3 linked regions of the Drosophila melanogaster genome follow. The protein of the gene in region 3 interacts with the protein of the main gene of each other region in a biochemical or structural test. Each region holds a gene or a part of one and is shown on either strand. Other genes may lie near its edges.

What was found.
Region 1: the proteins of Ubx (region 3) and exd are reported together in a solved structure, tested with the Drosophila melanogaster proteins (2 studies listed by BioGRID).
Region 2: the proteins of Ubx (region 3) and hry form a complex in vitro, tested with the Drosophila melanogaster proteins (one study listed by BioGRID).

What each region holds. Positions count from the first base shown.
Region 1 is NC_004354.4:15,991,010-15,997,050, reverse strand, and holds exd (extradenticle), read right to left. Parts: upstream 4,352-6,041; 5' UTR 4,127-4,351; intron 4,116-4,126; exon of another isoform or gene 3,938-4,115; intron 3,580-3,937; 5' UTR 3,543-3,579; coding exon 3,278-3,542; intron 3,087-3,277; coding exon 2,768-3,086; intron 2,705-2,767; coding exon 2,446-2,704; intron 2,367-2,445; coding exon 2,079-2,366; 3' UTR 542-2,078; downstream 1-541. Other genes in the region: CG46312 (uncharacterized protein), read left to right, coding at 5,947-5,968. UniProt on the Drosophila melanogaster protein: Transcription factor which acts with the selector homeodomain proteins altering the regulation of downstream target genes such as wingless (wg), teashirt (tsh) and decapentaplegic (dpp), thus affecting segmental identity.
Region 2 is NT_037436.4:8,673,932-8,679,794, reverse strand, and holds hry (hairy), read right to left. Parts: upstream 4,037-5,863; 5' UTR 3,546-4,036; coding exon 3,447-3,545; intron 2,424-3,446; coding exon 2,328-2,423; intron 2,191-2,327; coding exon 1,372-2,190; 3' UTR 542-1,371; downstream 1-541. UniProt on the Drosophila melanogaster protein: Pair-rule protein that regulates embryonic segmentation and adult bristle patterning. Transcriptional repressor of genes that require a bHLH protein for their transcription (e.g. ftz).
Region 3 is NT_033777.3:16,731,393-16,736,414, forward strand, and holds the start of Ubx (ultrabithorax), read right to left. Parts: upstream 3,035-5,022; 5' UTR 2,072-3,034; coding exon 1,306-2,071; intron 1-1,305. UniProt on the Drosophila melanogaster protein: Sequence-specific transcription factor which is part of a developmental regulatory system that provides cells with specific positional identities on the anterior-posterior axis. Binds the consensus region 5'-TTAAT[GT][GA]-3'.

The DNA.
Region 1 (6,041 bases), on a different chromosome or scaffold from region 3:
TTGCCAACAGTGTGGCCGTATTGACAATTCAAAGTATTCCGGGCAGTGCCAGCATGCGCGTCAAGGTAGCGGCGATTGAGTGCTAGATAAGTGGAACGTGTTCTTAAATTGTGGAATGCATTGGGGCAGCGGGTGAATTTTTTTAAAATTTCTACTTTATTATTTATAAATTTAAAATTGGTCGATCAAAGTGATTTATATAAATTACTACACACTTTTGGGAATAACTGTAAGATGTGGGGTGAAGTACATTAAGCCGTAATGAACCATAATAAAAATAAAATACGCCTAAAATTAAAATTTTTTGTCTGTTTTACAGCTGCCAAAAATCTAAAAAATTAAAATTCTTCTGTTTTTATTGACCAACCCCACATAAAAGAATGATTTCTATCTGTGAGCCAGATAGTTTTAATTAAAGAAGAGCAAGTGTATCTACAGATGCTCCATCTCTTTCTATTACGTGTATAGATTATCTGCAAAGGATAACGCCCTTTTCTTTAATACTCCCAAAAAACCATTAATTAATACTTCGTTTTGATTTATTAAGTTATTTGTGTAAAGTTGTGTATTTATATATTTTTCTATTGTTATCCAAAATGTTTAATGCAGTACCTTACTTACTGAAATACATTGAATGGTTTCATTTGACCGTAATGTGAGCGAAAGTCTGTCAAAGACATATGTTATTTATCATTTAAAATTATAATCGTTTTGTATACTTTCAAATAATCTGTTTTCATATCCGTTTTAATTGGGGGCAAAGAGTAGTGTACACTTCTTACTAAGCGAAAGACGAATTTGTTCTTGATTTTATAATGCAATTAAGTTGGGAAGTTCGTTTTTATAGCAAGAAATCCATTAAGATTTAATGTTTAATACTTTTTAGGATGTAAGAAACAAACAATTGTTTTGAGACTTTTAAAATACACGTTAATAAATCTATTAAATGTTATAAGCTGTTAAATAATACAATTCGTCCTTCGATAGAAATGTGACATTTTGTTTATCCAAGACTTTTCTTTTCCGTTTTTACATTCAAAATATTTTTGTAATTAGTTGACGTGTGTGCGGATAACAACAACATGTATTATTTATTTATTTGATATACATCGTATACATGGTTTAGTTTCGTATTTTCGTATTGTTCAAGTTTTTAAAAATTTCGTACAGTTTTAAATTCAGTAAACACTATTTTGCTGTCGTATACGTACTGTAGCCAAAAAAGAATCGTCATAGTATGATTTACATGCAATATTTGTATATACCCGCAAATGTAGGTAAATGTATTAAAATATATTTATACACAGCTGCGGTCAAAATAATAGCTCTGAAACTTGTGCCTCCTCCACTCGTTGTGAAAATATTCGTATACTACCAGTTTAATCGAGTTTCTTTGCATATGTTTTCGATGGTTAATATATAAGCTAAATGGGGCTATGCAGAAAAAGTCACTGCATTGGTTATTAACCCTTTTTAAAGAACGTTGATCAAATTATAATCGCTTAAGCGAATTATTACGTATTTATGTATTTTACAGTTGACATGCCACAAACAACATGCTTTCCATTTCAATTGATTGTGAATTAAAAAAAAAAAGCGAGCAAACTTTTCGTTTTATGTTCGGGCAAAAAATATTCTTAATTAGGCCATTATTCAATTGTCGACTTCTTAATACATCCTGCATGCATATATTGTTAAAAAGCAGGAGACTGTGTCAATTAAAAAACCATATCAGCTTATTTACTTTCTTTTTTGATTTAAGCAGGCAAAGTTTTTTCTGCCAACCAAAATGTAGCAAGCACAAACTAACTATTACGTATTTATATTCTACTCACGTATTTATGTATATCTATCGGAACTATATCTAAATTGATGGGAATTTTAAACTTATCTGACTCGAAACCAAAGGACAGAAAGCTGAATTTAAAAATCCCTTAAGAATTGTTGTTCTTGGCGAAGAAGCAAATATAAGCCGCATAATTATGAAAAAACTGCATGTTAGATTTTTCAGCGCAGTTATTTTGACCGCAACTGTATGAGGGATTCTCCGGACTGGGAGTGGTTCACAGCCCTGATCCTCAGGGGCTTAGATCCTGATGGAGATTTGGGTCGTAGCCGCCCATGCTGTTGTCGTACGGTTGCTGCTGGTCGTATCCGCCGGAGCCCATTGGATAGCCCATGGAATCCTGTGGCGGAGCGGGTGACATCATGGGTGTGGTTGTCCCGCTGGGTGGACCGGCCATGGAATACGGTGAAGCACCAGCCGCCTTCTTGGCCGCATACAAATTGGCCTCCTCCTGTGCCTTACCAATGTTCTTCTTATAGCGAATACGCTTGTTGCCAAACCAATTCGATACTTGCGAGACCTGCATGAGTGTGTTTTGTTTTATTTACTATGCTGCAATCGGATTTGCATTGTTGATTAATGTGCCCTACACTACTTACCGTGATGCCACACTTTCGTGCCAACTCCTCTTTGGCCTCTTCGGATGGATATGGGTTGCTCAAGTGACTGTAGAAGTACTCGTTGAGAATCTCGGATGCCTGCTTGCTGAAATTGCGGCGTTTGCGGCGTGCGTCCAGGAAACGCGAACGAAGTATCATTACAGCCTCGCAGGTCGACTGCTTCAGCTGCATTTGTATGGAACTAAACTTTTTGTGGATGATCTGCACCATTCGCTCGATTTCCTTTGGTGTAATGGGTCTGAAATACGATTATATTACCCAAATGATGGCCATCATTTTGCATTTATCTATATACACCAACCTCGTGCGACTCTGTTCGCGTAGAAGATTCATGACATGCGTGGTGAACTCGTTGCATGCCTGCTCGTACTTCTCCAATTCCTGGTGATATATTTGACGGATCTGTGCCAGCTTGGCACGGTAGTCGGAATGCTCAATGGCATTGTCAGCACCATCGATGGACAGGGAACCGCCCTGGCTGGCCGCAGCCGCAGAGGCAGCCGCTGCTCCGCCACCGCCCTTCTCGGGTCCGGCCACGCCCTCGGCAATCAGCATGTTGTCCAAGCGCATCAGTTGCGGATCTGGGGGCTCCTCCTCCTGGGTGTTGCGAATCGAGAGGACTGTAATAGTTTTAACGAAGAAGACGAATGATAAAAATAATTTCATACTGAACGTTTTAAGACTATTACGTTAAGAATTGTGTTTGATTTAGTAAATCAATTGTATCACAAGCAAATCACAAAATCCATAATACCATTTCAACTTATTTGATGGTCTTGAATGAGAGATAAATATAGGGTTTTAAGCTTACCGGTCTTCTCCTTGATTTCGCAAAGTACAGAGAAAAGTGCCGGCTTCATTCGGTGACAGTTTAGTGTATGTTTTCTGGCCTGGGCCTCGTCAAGTGATTGCTCCGAGATACTCATTATCTGTTGCAATATCTCGCCGATGTCCTTCTGCTTGCGCACCTCGTTCTCGCTGCCGGCATTCTGGCCATCATCCTGGCCAGACAAGCCGTATCCTTGCGGAGCCATCATGCCGCCGGTGTGGGCCAACATGCGATTGGGGTCCTCCATGGTGCCGCAACACAAAGCAAGCTACAAATCCAAGTTTCTGTAATAATATTAAACATCAAATATTAAAATCATGCAAGAAAAAAGGAAATAACCCAATATTTTTTCTACCAATTCGATTTTTTAGTGTTTTATTATTTAATAAATATTTCTTTTTTATATAAAAACATAAGTTTGAAACCCTTAAAAATGTAGTAAAAACTTGAGTTAATGTATACTTAACAAACTGAAAACAAATACACCAATTAAATCTTTTGCTACAAAATTCATCATATCTATAGAAGAGATACCAACAAAGCCATTAAACCCACAAACCCCACCACAAAATAATCCCCCAGACATTTGAGCAAAAGTGAAAAGACATTTTGGTATCCTATTGGAAATGCAATAATCTCCACCTGTCGCAATCTCATGAAGCGGCATATCTTTTTGGGGGTGAAAAAGTATCTCAGATGCGTAGCACGAAGCTGGGCAGTTACCCGAACTATTTATGAACTTATTTCTATTTATTTATTGCTGTGTACCACAGGTAACGTTACATTTTACACATGTACAGATAAATGACGCCGAGTGCATCACATACATACACTTGTACGTATGTTTAGTGCCAGCAGAATGGTAAAAAAAAATCAACCTGCCAAGTTTATATTTACATACACACAAGGTTATGGTTAAGCATTAATTTGAATGCAGTTTGAAAACATTTTGTTGGTTTTACATGTACATTCTTGAGATTTTATTACGTCAGAAAAGATTTAAACTGTTTATAACAAGGTGTATGTACATATCCACACATCGATATATGTGCATGTAAGTATTGAGAAGCGTCCACTTGAAATTCCATACTCACGGTTTTTTATTTATCGTGATTGCCTCGTATACTTATTTGCCGTACAAGTCGTATTTTGTGTTATTTTCACTAAAAATTAGTGACACATTACTTGCAGTTGTAAATAACCGCAAGTATATAATATTATTATCTTTTTTGGACAACAATGAAACGAAAGTACGTTCTGTATACGCAGAAAAATAAATCGATATGAAAAAGTTTTCCAGTACTGTAAGAATATCGATAAGTATTCCATAAAATGCAATTTATATTTGCTAGTGAAAACGTGGACAATCGATATCTTACCCGTAGTTACATTCTAGTGCTTACTCACTGCGAGTTGGGTATCGATACTATTTAAAATGTGGCTCTTGAAATAATATTTTAAACATTTTTTCAATAAAATAAATAAGATATCCTCTACAAAAAATGTGGTATATTGGTATTGGAATATAGAAGAAATACAGATGATCCACTCTTATAACATATATTTTAAAAGGCTGATTGGAACTACGTTTAATTATATAACACATATATTTGTTTCTATTTTAGTCAACTTCATTTTTAAAAATGGTCTTTCGTTTTTAAGCGTATTATTACATATCTTCATTTTAATAAATACCATATAAATTATATAAAAGTGAAAGTGTGAAAAGGCTAAAATTCATTCACATCATATTCGGCCAATCGATAGTGATAGGCTGCAGCCCACTAAAGTCGTTATGGTCATATTGTGCTGTGACGTTTAGTCGTATGTTCGTGGACTTCGGAGAAAATCTTTTCTTAAACGGTTAATTCAGTAAAATTATTAATTTACTTTCATTGTGATCAGAAACGCTTTATAGAAAACTTGTGGAAAAGGTATTGAAAAGTGATTGTGACCAAAACGAACACAACCTCAAAAGTTTAAATGGCGTGGCTTTCATCCATATGTAAATGCATACGTGCATGAAAATGTACATTTATATATATCTATACTAAATAATTCAGTTTTCCACAATTTTTGTAACGTTGGGTCTAGTGTATATCTGCATAAAGCTACTTTACTTCGTGCTTACACAAAAATCACGCTTCAACAGTGTTTTTTATGGCCATTATACAAAAGTACTGAATACATAAGTAATAGGAAAAGATATATATGTAAAATATATATATACTTGAATGTTAAATTAACCTTTTTCCTTCGAAATTATAAGTAAATTTGAGCTAAACTAAAGTAATGTAAGAAATACTTAGTACGGAGTGGTATACATATGTTCGTTCATGCGCATTCCTAATTTTATTTTCTTTCCCTTTGCAGAATAGTTGAGAGACCAAAAATTTCAATTTTTGCGATACATAAGCGCGTTAAAAGCGTTACTAATATTTTTCAATATTAGCACGGAATCAGAGCTATCAAAAAAAAAAAAAGTTATCGATTTCCCGTGGCAGTGCGATTTGTTTGATTTTGATTTATCCATATATATTTTCCAAGTCAATTTGCGATTGACTTCACAAAGAATACCCGAGAGTACGATATCTTTGTCTAATTTGCGAACTGGCATTGCGCACCCCAAAGGAGGGGAAACAAAATCTTATATGACTTTTGAAAGATACGGTGGTAAGTAATAGTTAATCATCAACAACCCATTGAATCGATTTGTATCTAAGACACATATTTATCCCGACCACTG
Region 2 (5,863 bases), on a different chromosome or scaffold from region 3:
TAAAATATACCCTTGTGCGCCTTAACTTTTGCTGATCACTTCGATTGGAATAACCAATGATTAAATTGCAAAATATTTTAAAATATTATCGATCAAAGGATTATAATAAGTATTTATTTCGTCACAACTGTTTCGAATTACTGGCCTATCGAACGGATGTGTGAAAATCAAGGCATTCCTATATAATGTTTATGATGCACATATATCTATATCCGTTACGGTCTGGCCACAGAAAAACCTTCAACTCGTCGTGCCGATTATATTAGCAGAAACGGACATAATCGAGCCCCTTAAAACGTAGTTGTATTATCGTCGAAATCCCCGCCGATCCTCTCCAGCAAAATGAATTTCACCATTGGCATTATAATAATTAGCGTCGAAATTTGCTACGATAAGTCGGGGGGCTCGATAAGTTTCCTGTCACTCAAAGCGTTTGACCTCTAAAACAAAAAAAAGAACCATAATGGGACTTTCACCCGAATGAAAAAAAAACCCAGGAAAAGATACCCCAACCACAATAACAAATCCGTTTTGCGTATTTGATTTTTTAGTAGAATCTTTTAAATTTATTTCTTTTTAGTGTGTTGTTTGTTTGTTTTTTCTTTCTTGTTGATTTTTTTGCTTTTGCTTGCATCAAATTCTTGTTTTGTTTTCTTAGAAGCTCATTATGTTCACTATATCACGTGGCCTTACGAATAGATTTGTGTGTTTTATAAATATAATTATTCTTTGATTAGACTTAAGAGCGAGAGAAACCCTAAGCGGCTTAGCTGGCTATGGTACAAAACCTATACTTAAATGGAGATGTACGACTATGTGTAAGAGTTATGCTTTTGCGTTTATCTTTTTCATAAAAAGTATTTCAGCTTTTCAGGTGCTTATTTTCGCATTTTCATTTTCTGTGTTTGGAAGACTTTTGCTGATTTGCTGTTATTCAAAGAGTAATACATGATACATGAGGCAATTCAACACCAAGTACTTGGACTGAGGTAGTTTGGCGATGTCCTGGTAGAATACCGTTCTCTCAAATCGATTACATAATATAATAATAAATAAATTATAACAACGTTTGCGTGTGTGTGTTTGTGTGTGGGTGCGTCTGATGAAGGTCCTTAGCCTCGTCGACGGGTTTCCAGGATATAAGCCAGGAAACTAAGCCAACGAAGTTGTGAACCGAGTTTAGGATTCGCATGTTTGCAACACTTCAAAGCAACATTTGCGCAATCCCGGCGAATGATGTGAAATGTCTACGCGCATGCGCACAACGCCTGCGCATGTGTGCGAGTTGGATGAGTTGTGGGGGGTCAGTCTTAAAAGCGGGAGATTCGATAGGGGTGGCTATGCTATATGATATGCATATGCAGACACCCTCTACCAGGGCCGCCAGGGCTGCTCCTCCTCCTTGATCTGCTTCTTGATCACCAGCGACAGGGGCTGCTGCTCCATTGGCACGCGCTGGATGACCGATGGCTTGATGTCCATGGGCTCGTAGCTAGAGTTGGCCGGACTGGGCGGGGCGTAGCTACAGCTGCTGCTGCTTCCGGGCGCCGACTCGTATCCGGCGGAGGAGTGCGAGCTGGCGGATCCGGTGCTGGCTGTACGCTGGGGCATGCTGACCAACATGGGTTGCTGTTGTGCTGCTGCTGCGGCCGCTGCTGCTGCTGCGACGGCGAGTTGCTGCTGCTGCTGTTGGTGCTGCAGCAACTGTTGCTGCTGCTGCTGGGGCAGGCTCTGGGGCAACACGAGGGCAATGCTACCGTTGGGCAGCTTGGTGGGGATCACCTGCATGCCATTGGGCAGAAAGTAACCGCTGGCCGTCTGCTGGATACCAAAGAGGTAGGGTGCCGCTGCTCCCTGCTGGCTATCCTGCTCCGGCGAGCTGGGCGGCGAGGGCAGCATCTGGGCGTGGATGGACTGCTGTTGCTGCTGGCGCTGCTGCTGGTGCAGCTCTGTCTTAACGCCATTGATGCAGTTGCTCAGGTGCTGTAGCAGGCGACGACGCTGGGCGGGCTCGATGCCGGGAAAGCGGCTAACCTCGTTCACACAGTCGGCGAATCCGGCCTTGAATTTGTTCACAATCTTGGGATCGGCGGCCTGCTGCATGGCTGCCTGCTGGCGCTGCAGCTCCTGCAGATGCTTTACTGTCTTCTCCAGAATGTCGGCCTTTTCCAATTTGGAGTGGCGAGCCGGCTAAAAGTAGAGAGAGAAAATAATTTGGAAATTAGTCAATGATTTAAACTTTTAAAAAATATTTGAGATAATTTCAAATATGTAGTTTTTTTTATTTTATTTGTGGCTTTAAACTTATATTTTTGTCAGATACTTACGTCTTTTTTGGTGGCATCCAGAATCAGAGTCTTGAGTTCATTGAGACAGTTGTTAATACGGGCACGTCGGCGTTTCTCCATGATGGGCTTGTTCGACTGCAAGAGGCAAGAAATGGAAAAAAAAAACATCGATTAGTCACGGCTTTTGCACGGCTAATTTGACCTCATGCAACGACCCAAAAATAGAGGAAGCTGCATGGGTCTTCAATTGGATTGGAGGAGATCAAGGAGGAGGCGGCGTAGGTTGGGGAGCGGATTGACTGGCTGGCGGCCAAATTTAGTCGCACGGCGCGTGCTCTATTTATAGCGCCACTCGGCCGAGGCATTTATTTAAAAATAGTTTGGCGGTTATAAATTACAGGCAGTGGCTATAAATAAACCAACCAGGTATGAGCAAAAATAAAGAGAATGTGACAAGGTCAGAGCGGGAAATTCGAAGATGCCATAACTAGGTACATTATTATCTAGGGAGCACAAGTTGCCAAATTTGGACTCGCATGAAGTCAGTTTTTTTTTTTCTGGCCAACTCATTGAACCGGTGCCGTTCGAATGGCCAAAAACGGCGGCTGATGACCGACAATTGCAGCCACCACGCGACGCACGCGCCAAGTGGCAGCCAAATCCGAATCCGAGTCCGAATCTGGGGAGCTGGTGGGCAGCTACGCCAGCCAATTTTGGGCGGCACTCATGAATGGATGGAGCGTGTGTGTAGTCGGAGTAGTATGCCATATGCCATATAGTAAATGCCACCAACGCGACGCGAGATAAATTCGCTTTGTGTTGGCGCGCCGACGGCAGTTGCGGCCTTTTTTTGGTCTGGCTCAGAGTGTTTTTCTTTTTTCGTATTTTTATTCCCAGCCAGCCATGTGGGAGATGGCTAAAAAGGAAATGCATTTGGGCAGCGGGATTGATGGGGCCAGTCGCCCACAGTCGCGAATGGAAATCAACTTGAGCTCGAAGTGGGTGGCTCTCAATTAGGGGAATTCTCGGTTTGGTTCGCTTCAGTTAATCCACAGATTTCGGGGAACTAGAGGTTCTGATTTAATCCATTGACGGGGTTTTTTGTTTTTGGCTTTGGATTTTTTTTTTCGAGTCTTATTTTTCTCGAAAGAAACTTACCCGACGGTCACTTTTGAGCGGCGTCTCCTTGAGCTGGGCCGGCACAACGGCGGTGCCCAGAACGTTGGTCATGTTGGCTGCTGTTACGCCGGTAACCATTTCGGTCAGATATTGTTTGTTGAGTTTGAGGCACAGTTTGGTTTTCACTTGGCAGCAAATCTGAATTTGCTGCTCTTTGCAATATAAGTTCACTGCTTTTTTGCTTTTTTTAGAATAACTCAAGTTGTCAGTTTTTTTTTTTTTCAAGTTCACTTGGTGGTTTCACTTTCGCGCAGCGTCGCAGAGAAGCACGTAAAATGGTATTGTGTCTGGGGGGGTTCTCTAGATTTCGATTCGGTTTATCAAAGCGGAGCGATAGAACCGCACGCTACGAAATACGGCAGGCGAATGAGCAGCAGGTTCTGGCTGCAGTGCGATTAAAAGACCGAAACGACTCGGCACGAAGCAGAAGATCGATCGTTCGGCTTTCGGATGGTTGCGCTATATATATGTATGTATATATATATATAAGTATTTGCTTTACTGCGTCTGGATGTTGCGGAGCGTAGCGGGACTACCTTATCGCTGGGCTCTCGGCGGAAGACTGACGATTGATCGACAGGTTCGTAGGCTAAATCGCCGCTGCGAGACGCGAGCGCGAGCCACACGACCGCACCAATACAATTGCACTGGCATTGCGGCTACCTAGGGGTATACATTATGCGCTACCTGCTCGCTTCAGTGTGTGTGTGTGTGTGTGCGTGCTCACGCTTGTGAGCGGTACCTAAAGTACACACCGCGTTACTCATACGCCCCCGTGGCTCGCGGGAATGGGCATTTCTTCCTTTTTGGAAATCACACTGCGAAACCCCCATTGGTGATCGTCGGTCGGTCGGTCGATCAGCGATCGGTTTGGCTTGACTCTGCTGGGCTCTGCTAACTGAGGGATTCACAAGAGGCTGTGTTTCTGGCTGTGCTGTTGGTGATGGTCGCGGTGGTGTTGGTGTTGTTGCTGCTTCTGCGGTGGTTTCTGGTGGCTCGCCGTTCGTGGTTTGCTGATTCATGCGGCCAACGCGACGACGTCCCATAGAAGGTGAAAATAGCTGGCTATATGACGCCACCCCAGTGCGACAGGTTCGGTTTTTTGTGCTGTGTACTGTGTATCTGCGGCTCGGGGGTCGCTAAACAGTAAACAAGATCACAAGGTTGTGCGCACGCTAGGCGGAAGTGGGTGGTTGGGTGGTTGGGTGGTTGGGCGATCGGGCAGTGGGTGGTGGCTATAGTTATCCCCCTAGCATTTTCCAGACCAGTCTGTACAACCGACTCATTCAGCATGCCGTACGCCTCAATTAAGTGAAGGTCGCCCTTTTGGCTTTTGATCGATAGCCGCCAACGGGCTAAATGAAATGGAAATCGCTGTGGACAAGGCTGCGTGGATCACACGTGCTCCGCCGGACGCTTAGATTCAGCTTGATGGCTTCTACGTGCAGCGTTGGATTTTCACGTTTTTCATATATTATTTGTTGTTTTGTTTTGGAGTAATGATTTATCGAAGGTTGACTATAATTACGCGACACGCGGAATAGTCGGGCATCAGAAAACTAACCATTCATTAGCAGAATGAGAAGAGGGGCATTGCAGTGAAAACTGGGAATATTACAGTGAAAATGAAGCTTAAATTATATTGTTTATTTGGTAGTAAAAAGCCAAAGTGCGTCACACACATTTCGTTACAACCGAAAGTGATATTTTAAATAACTGCTTAAGCCATCTATTATTTACAAAATATGGGTTAAGTTTTAAGAAATGGTAATAACCATGTAATTAGTTTAACCAGGCTGAGCTCAGTAAAGGTAGATGACACATATTTAGGTTACACGATCTATAAAAGGAAATTACGTTATCTTTGACGTTTGTTCTTGGGAAATATTTTTAAAGCCTGACTTGGACTCTGACCACTGATTAGTGAAGTTATACCAAAACCACGAATCGTCAACAAAGTTACATTGGAATGAGTCAGTCAGGCTTTAAACATTCAAGTTGGCTAAAAACGGGTGTTTACAATATTTTTTTTATAGCGAAACCACCTGGCAGTGTTTTTATAGAAACTAATAAAGTTGACTCTAATGAAGATGAGTAAAAAAACGTTTAGAAGTTAATTTGATTTTACTACACTTAATTTCTGCTTAATAATTAAATGAAATTGAACTTAATCAACAATCACGTCTTACAAATATGCATATCTATCGATTCGTGAAAATACTCAAAAAGTTTGGGGAATTTCTGACATTTTTGACGGTTGTCTAAAGTGTTGTGCGTTTTGTGGTCGCCAGAGAAGGTTGTTATGCCGAGAACACATGCCCCAACAATATGGATACATATATATATAGACGGTAGTGGCGGACGTCGACAACACCTTCGCGTTCCAATTACAATTT
Region 3 (5,022 bases):
GTGCAGTTTACGTTCGATCTTCGAGCACCTAGACCTCCTTCGGCTGACCTACTCTTGGCTTTGTTCTTGGCCCAAACGGCAATCTCGGCCCAGACGCAAGCCGTTCGCCTCGCTCGGCTGGTGACTGAAACCCGTGGAAAAGTCGAGCGGTGAGGGGCTGAACGTAATTACATAATGGCGTAGTTAACCGTAATAAGCGCGACTTCTGCGCGCAGTGTGTGTCCTGAAAGGATTCTTGCCCTTTCTCGCCGACTCCTGTGGCTGCCTTTGCTGCCTTTTGCTATTTCTTGACTTCTCCGTTGCTATTTTGCAGCTCTTTTTAAGCCGCATGCCATAACTCACGCTGCTCGTTGCCGCTCTCTTGTTGCACAAATTGCAGCTCACTTGGGCTGCCAGCGCTGCAACAATTACCGCCGAGCATCATTAAAAGCAAAGGTGACAAAAATTAGTAAACAAAGTGTTGAAAATTATGAGGCAGACGTAGCGCTGCAAGGTGTCGCGGAGCGGAGCAGGTGAAATCGAAGGGTCTGAGCTGGTTTTTTTTATTTTTTTATTTTAGCTACTCATGGCTCTTCACTCGATTTAATCACTCTAAGCGAGATCACAGCCATAAAATCTCGCTTAGAGTGATTAAATCGCTGAAATTGGCGGCCAGCGAATAAACTATGGCCACGCAAATGGGTGCCTTTAAATAGAATTATTGGAAAATAATTTTGAGTTAGCCAAGGGGGTTTTTGCCTTTTTAACACTTAATAAATCTAAAATACTTGTCCTAATTTTTTTCCTCTGAAGAATATAATTTTACTATTTTTTATTAAAATTTTTAATTTTTTTACCAAGTATTATCACATCTTTTTTTCTAAACTTTTCAGCCAATTTGAATATACACAATATTAACTAGGACTGTTTTTTGGCTTCCTATAACCATAATACATTCTTAGTTTTTGTTTTTTTTAAATCGCTTAAAGTTTTTGATTGCCAATAAGGTGTTGTGTCTTTTCCCTAAGAACCTGCCATAAAAAGGTCTGTTCTGCCTGCTTTCATATGTCTTACATTACAAGTTGTTATCTGTTTTTCCCATGATCGATTCGAGCTCTTCATTATATTGCCTTACATGTTGACTTGTCTGTTAATTGGAGCAGAGACGGCAATTAATCACAGGATGACTTTTGTTGCCATAGCTGCAATCTGTTGAGCTTGATAACAACTGGGAAAACAACAAAGCTTTGGCACTGCAGGGATGAGGACAGAAGGGATGGGATTTCGGGGGACTTTCAGTGGACTTGTGCTGCAGTGGACACTCACTTTTGGTCGGATCTTCAGGACACTCACCTGCGATAGCCATCCAGGGGTAGAATGTGTGATTGCTGGCCTGGTGTAAACTGCTGGCGGCCGCCGTTTGGGCAGCGGCGCCCGAGATGGTGCAATTGGCATTCCAGGCAGTGCCCGCTCCGGCCACGCCCACGCCGCTCTGTACGCCTCCGGCGTTGCCGTTGCCGCCGCTGACACTCACATTACCGCCGGCACTGCCGCCGCGATGGCTAACGGGACTGCCGCCCGACGTGTCCAAATAGCCGCCCACTCGGGAATCTGGGGTGCAGGCGGAGGGTCTAACGGGCATACCGCCCGCCGGATTGTTCTGTCCGTTTGCATTGGCCGCATTACCGCCATTGGCATTGCCGGCTCCACCTGTTCCGCCCGCTCCGCCGCCACCACCGCCTCCGCCGCCACCCCCGCCGCCATTCGAGCCGCCCGTGTTCCAAATGTCTTTGTAGCCATTCACCGCATCCGCCTTGATGTTCAGGCAGTCCTGTTTGTAGGCTCCGGCTCCATCGCCGTATATCTTGTTGCAGGCGGCCGTGATGCTGGCATCGTAGGGCGAGTCCTGGGTGGTGCGCTGCAGATGGTGGTTGGCATAGGGACTCATGCCCAGCGAGAGAGGGAATCCTCTGTACGCGGCCGCCGCTGCACTGGCCGTCTGGTCGTGGTGGCCACCGCTGCCCATTGCCATTCCGGTGGCCTGGTGCGGATGGCCATAAAAGCCGGAGGCCTGTTCAAAGTACGAGTTCATTGCGCTGCTGGCGGTAAGAATCTTGGCGGTGCTCCGTCTGAGACGGGCTAAAAGTCGTTGGGGGCTTGACCGATTTCACACGAATTGGTTTCCAGGGATCTGCGATTTTTGGCGGATTTTATTTGAGTGTTTCCTCGCTTTCTGTGCTGTTCCTTTGCCTCCTTTGGATTTAAACAAATTTTGTTAAACTCTTTTTAAAATTTATTTTATATTTTCACTCCAAGTCTTTGTTGATTAAGTTTGGTTTTATATAGTTAAATATGTCTTATTATTTGTAAAATATTCTTGAAATTTTTTCTCCTTTGTTTTAGCACCAATTTGAATTTTCTTTGTTTCAGAGTAACCAATTTGTTTTTCACTTATTTAAATATTTATAAAATATTTTTCTGTTTGGTAAATATTTATTTCAAAAGTTATTCTTTTTATTGCACTCTCCACGCGGGTCGTTTTAAATTTATTTAAGCACTAATGTTTATTGAGACTTCAATCTTAATAATCTTTAAATTTTTTTCCACAATTGTTTGTACGGTTTCACAAGTGTTTCGTATACTTTGTTGCGTTTTGGTTTCGGTTTTTAGCCAATTGCACTTTGCTGTTAATTGAATTCGAATTTGAATACTTGGATTGCGCTTGCCTTGGCACTATCAAAGGCTCGTAAGCGTTACGATTATTACTATGTTTATTGTTATTGCAATTATTATTATTATTTTTATGGTTTTAACGATTTGAACGATTATTAGCCATAGTGCTGACCGAACGGGCGCGAATGCGTCTGCTGACGGATTTCCTCGAATCTGGACGCCAATCTAGTGGAAAGCGACTTTTCCGCGCGGCATTCACGGGCGGACGCGTGGGCGAGCGGTAAAGCGCTGAGGGCCAATAATAACAATAATGCCGCTGATAATGTGGATAATAAAACAAAGCGCGCGCCTGTTATCCAATCCGTTGCCATCGAACGAATGTGGCACCAAATCGCAGTTGCCAGTGTTTTGACTTTGCTCTGCCGACTCAACTCACTCGACTCGGCCTAAAAACGAGTGGAAAACAGAAACAGAGAGCCAGCGAAACGCTCAAAACCAGATTGTTTTTGAGCGCTCTTGCGCTCTCTCTTGAGTGTTCGTTCAGTTTAAGTTTATCGGGGTGGGCGCCTCTCGTTCATTCATTCGCGAGGAAGGAAAATGCGCTCGCCGCGGGAAATTCATCATGGAGGAGGGCTGATTTTCCTTCAACTGAGTGGCGAAAAACGCTCGACGGGCTGCCCGCCAGTTGCCAGTTGCACGCCAAACGATGCGCATCCCGTATTTGCTCGGTTTTAGCGCACTTATGACTACAGTTTCAGTTCCCAATCTTTGTGCTAGAATATGGCTTACGCAAATTATTTGTATCTAATTCTATTCAGTTTAAGCTGGTCATTATTTAATTGTTCAATATTTTGGGGAATAATTTGCACACAACGAAGTGCAAAAAAGTTTTTGTTTTAAAAAATATATTTATTAGAATAGTCGGAATATTGTAATTATTAATTTAATTTCTATGGAAGTAAATATCGTATAAATTGTTTCACAATTTAGAAAAATATTAGTAAATTAATCGTTTTTACCTTTACCTCAAAAACTATAAGCTTAATTCAATGTGGTATGGCATAAAAAGATACTTATCACTTAAAGGCTTTATTAGGCCTTTAAAAACGAATTATAATATATTAATGAAGACATTATTTTTTATTTATTAAAAGTCTCGTGTTTAGCATTAGTTTATTGATAATAAGTCAACCCCAACTCGGCATTGTACGGTAATAGAAGCCAGGGATCCGGAAAATTTGTGTGCTGCGGTTTTCCTTTTCCTATTCAAATTCAAATTCGCATTCGAATCCAAATGTTCAATCCGTTCGCCAATACTTTCAATGGGATATTAATGTCAATGTAAATATGGTGGGAATTGATGCTAATAAATTCATATGCATAATGCAAATAGATCGGGGTCTTGCAGACCGAGAACGCCGCGCCATTCGCGAAAGTTTCGCAAATATTTGTCAAAGTTTCCACATTCGCACAAACGGCTCGTAGATTAAGCCAGAAACCGACGGCGACCAAACAAAGTTGCTTGCCACAAGTGTTTGCAAAATAAACTTATTATAAGAAGAAATTTACTTTTCTACTTTTCCAACCCCTGCTCGCGCCATTTTCCGCCGACCAAATTTTCGGTGCCAAGTCTTAAAAATCAACAACAAGCGAAAGATACAAAAACTTGCACAAAACACAGATACGCACCACCACATACACACACACACACACACACTGACAAACACTTGAATCACATTCGGAGACGCGGCGACATTTTCTAAATATGCGACCAAAAGCCCAAGGAAAAGCGAAGCCAAAAGGCGAGAAGACCCAGAGCAAAGCAAAAGTAAAGTAAAAATCGCAGTCGCAACTGCAAACTAAATATCGTGAGTCGGGAATCCAGGACCCAGAAACTCGCTATCCCGCATTTGGGACCCAGGGGAAGGACACGAGTGCGAAGGACTCGCGGGGATGACAGAGAAATAGCCTCATAACCATTTGAAGCCATTCGAAGGCGCATAAAAGGATCACAACAATCGCCGAAATGAGCCATAATGAGCTCGTAAAAATTTTGCTACCTAATATACTCGGGAATCTTACGGGTACGAGTATATTCAAACTTGCTACGTTATGGTGGGGTATGCAATGGGGCAGCGCCAGTTCCCCTCTGTGGCTTCTGCTCCTCTCGTTGCTCTCGTTACCTCCTGCAGGAGCTCCTCCTCCTGCAGAAAGTTGGAACCCGCAGTTTTGTTTTTGTTCGACATCGATGATTGTTTTTTCCTCCGTTCTGCATTCTCGAGTTTGCTGCTCGAGTTACTGCTCGATTATGAATTGATGTATTTTAGTTCTGAGAAATCTAATTCTTCCAGAAAATGGAAACGTTTTTGT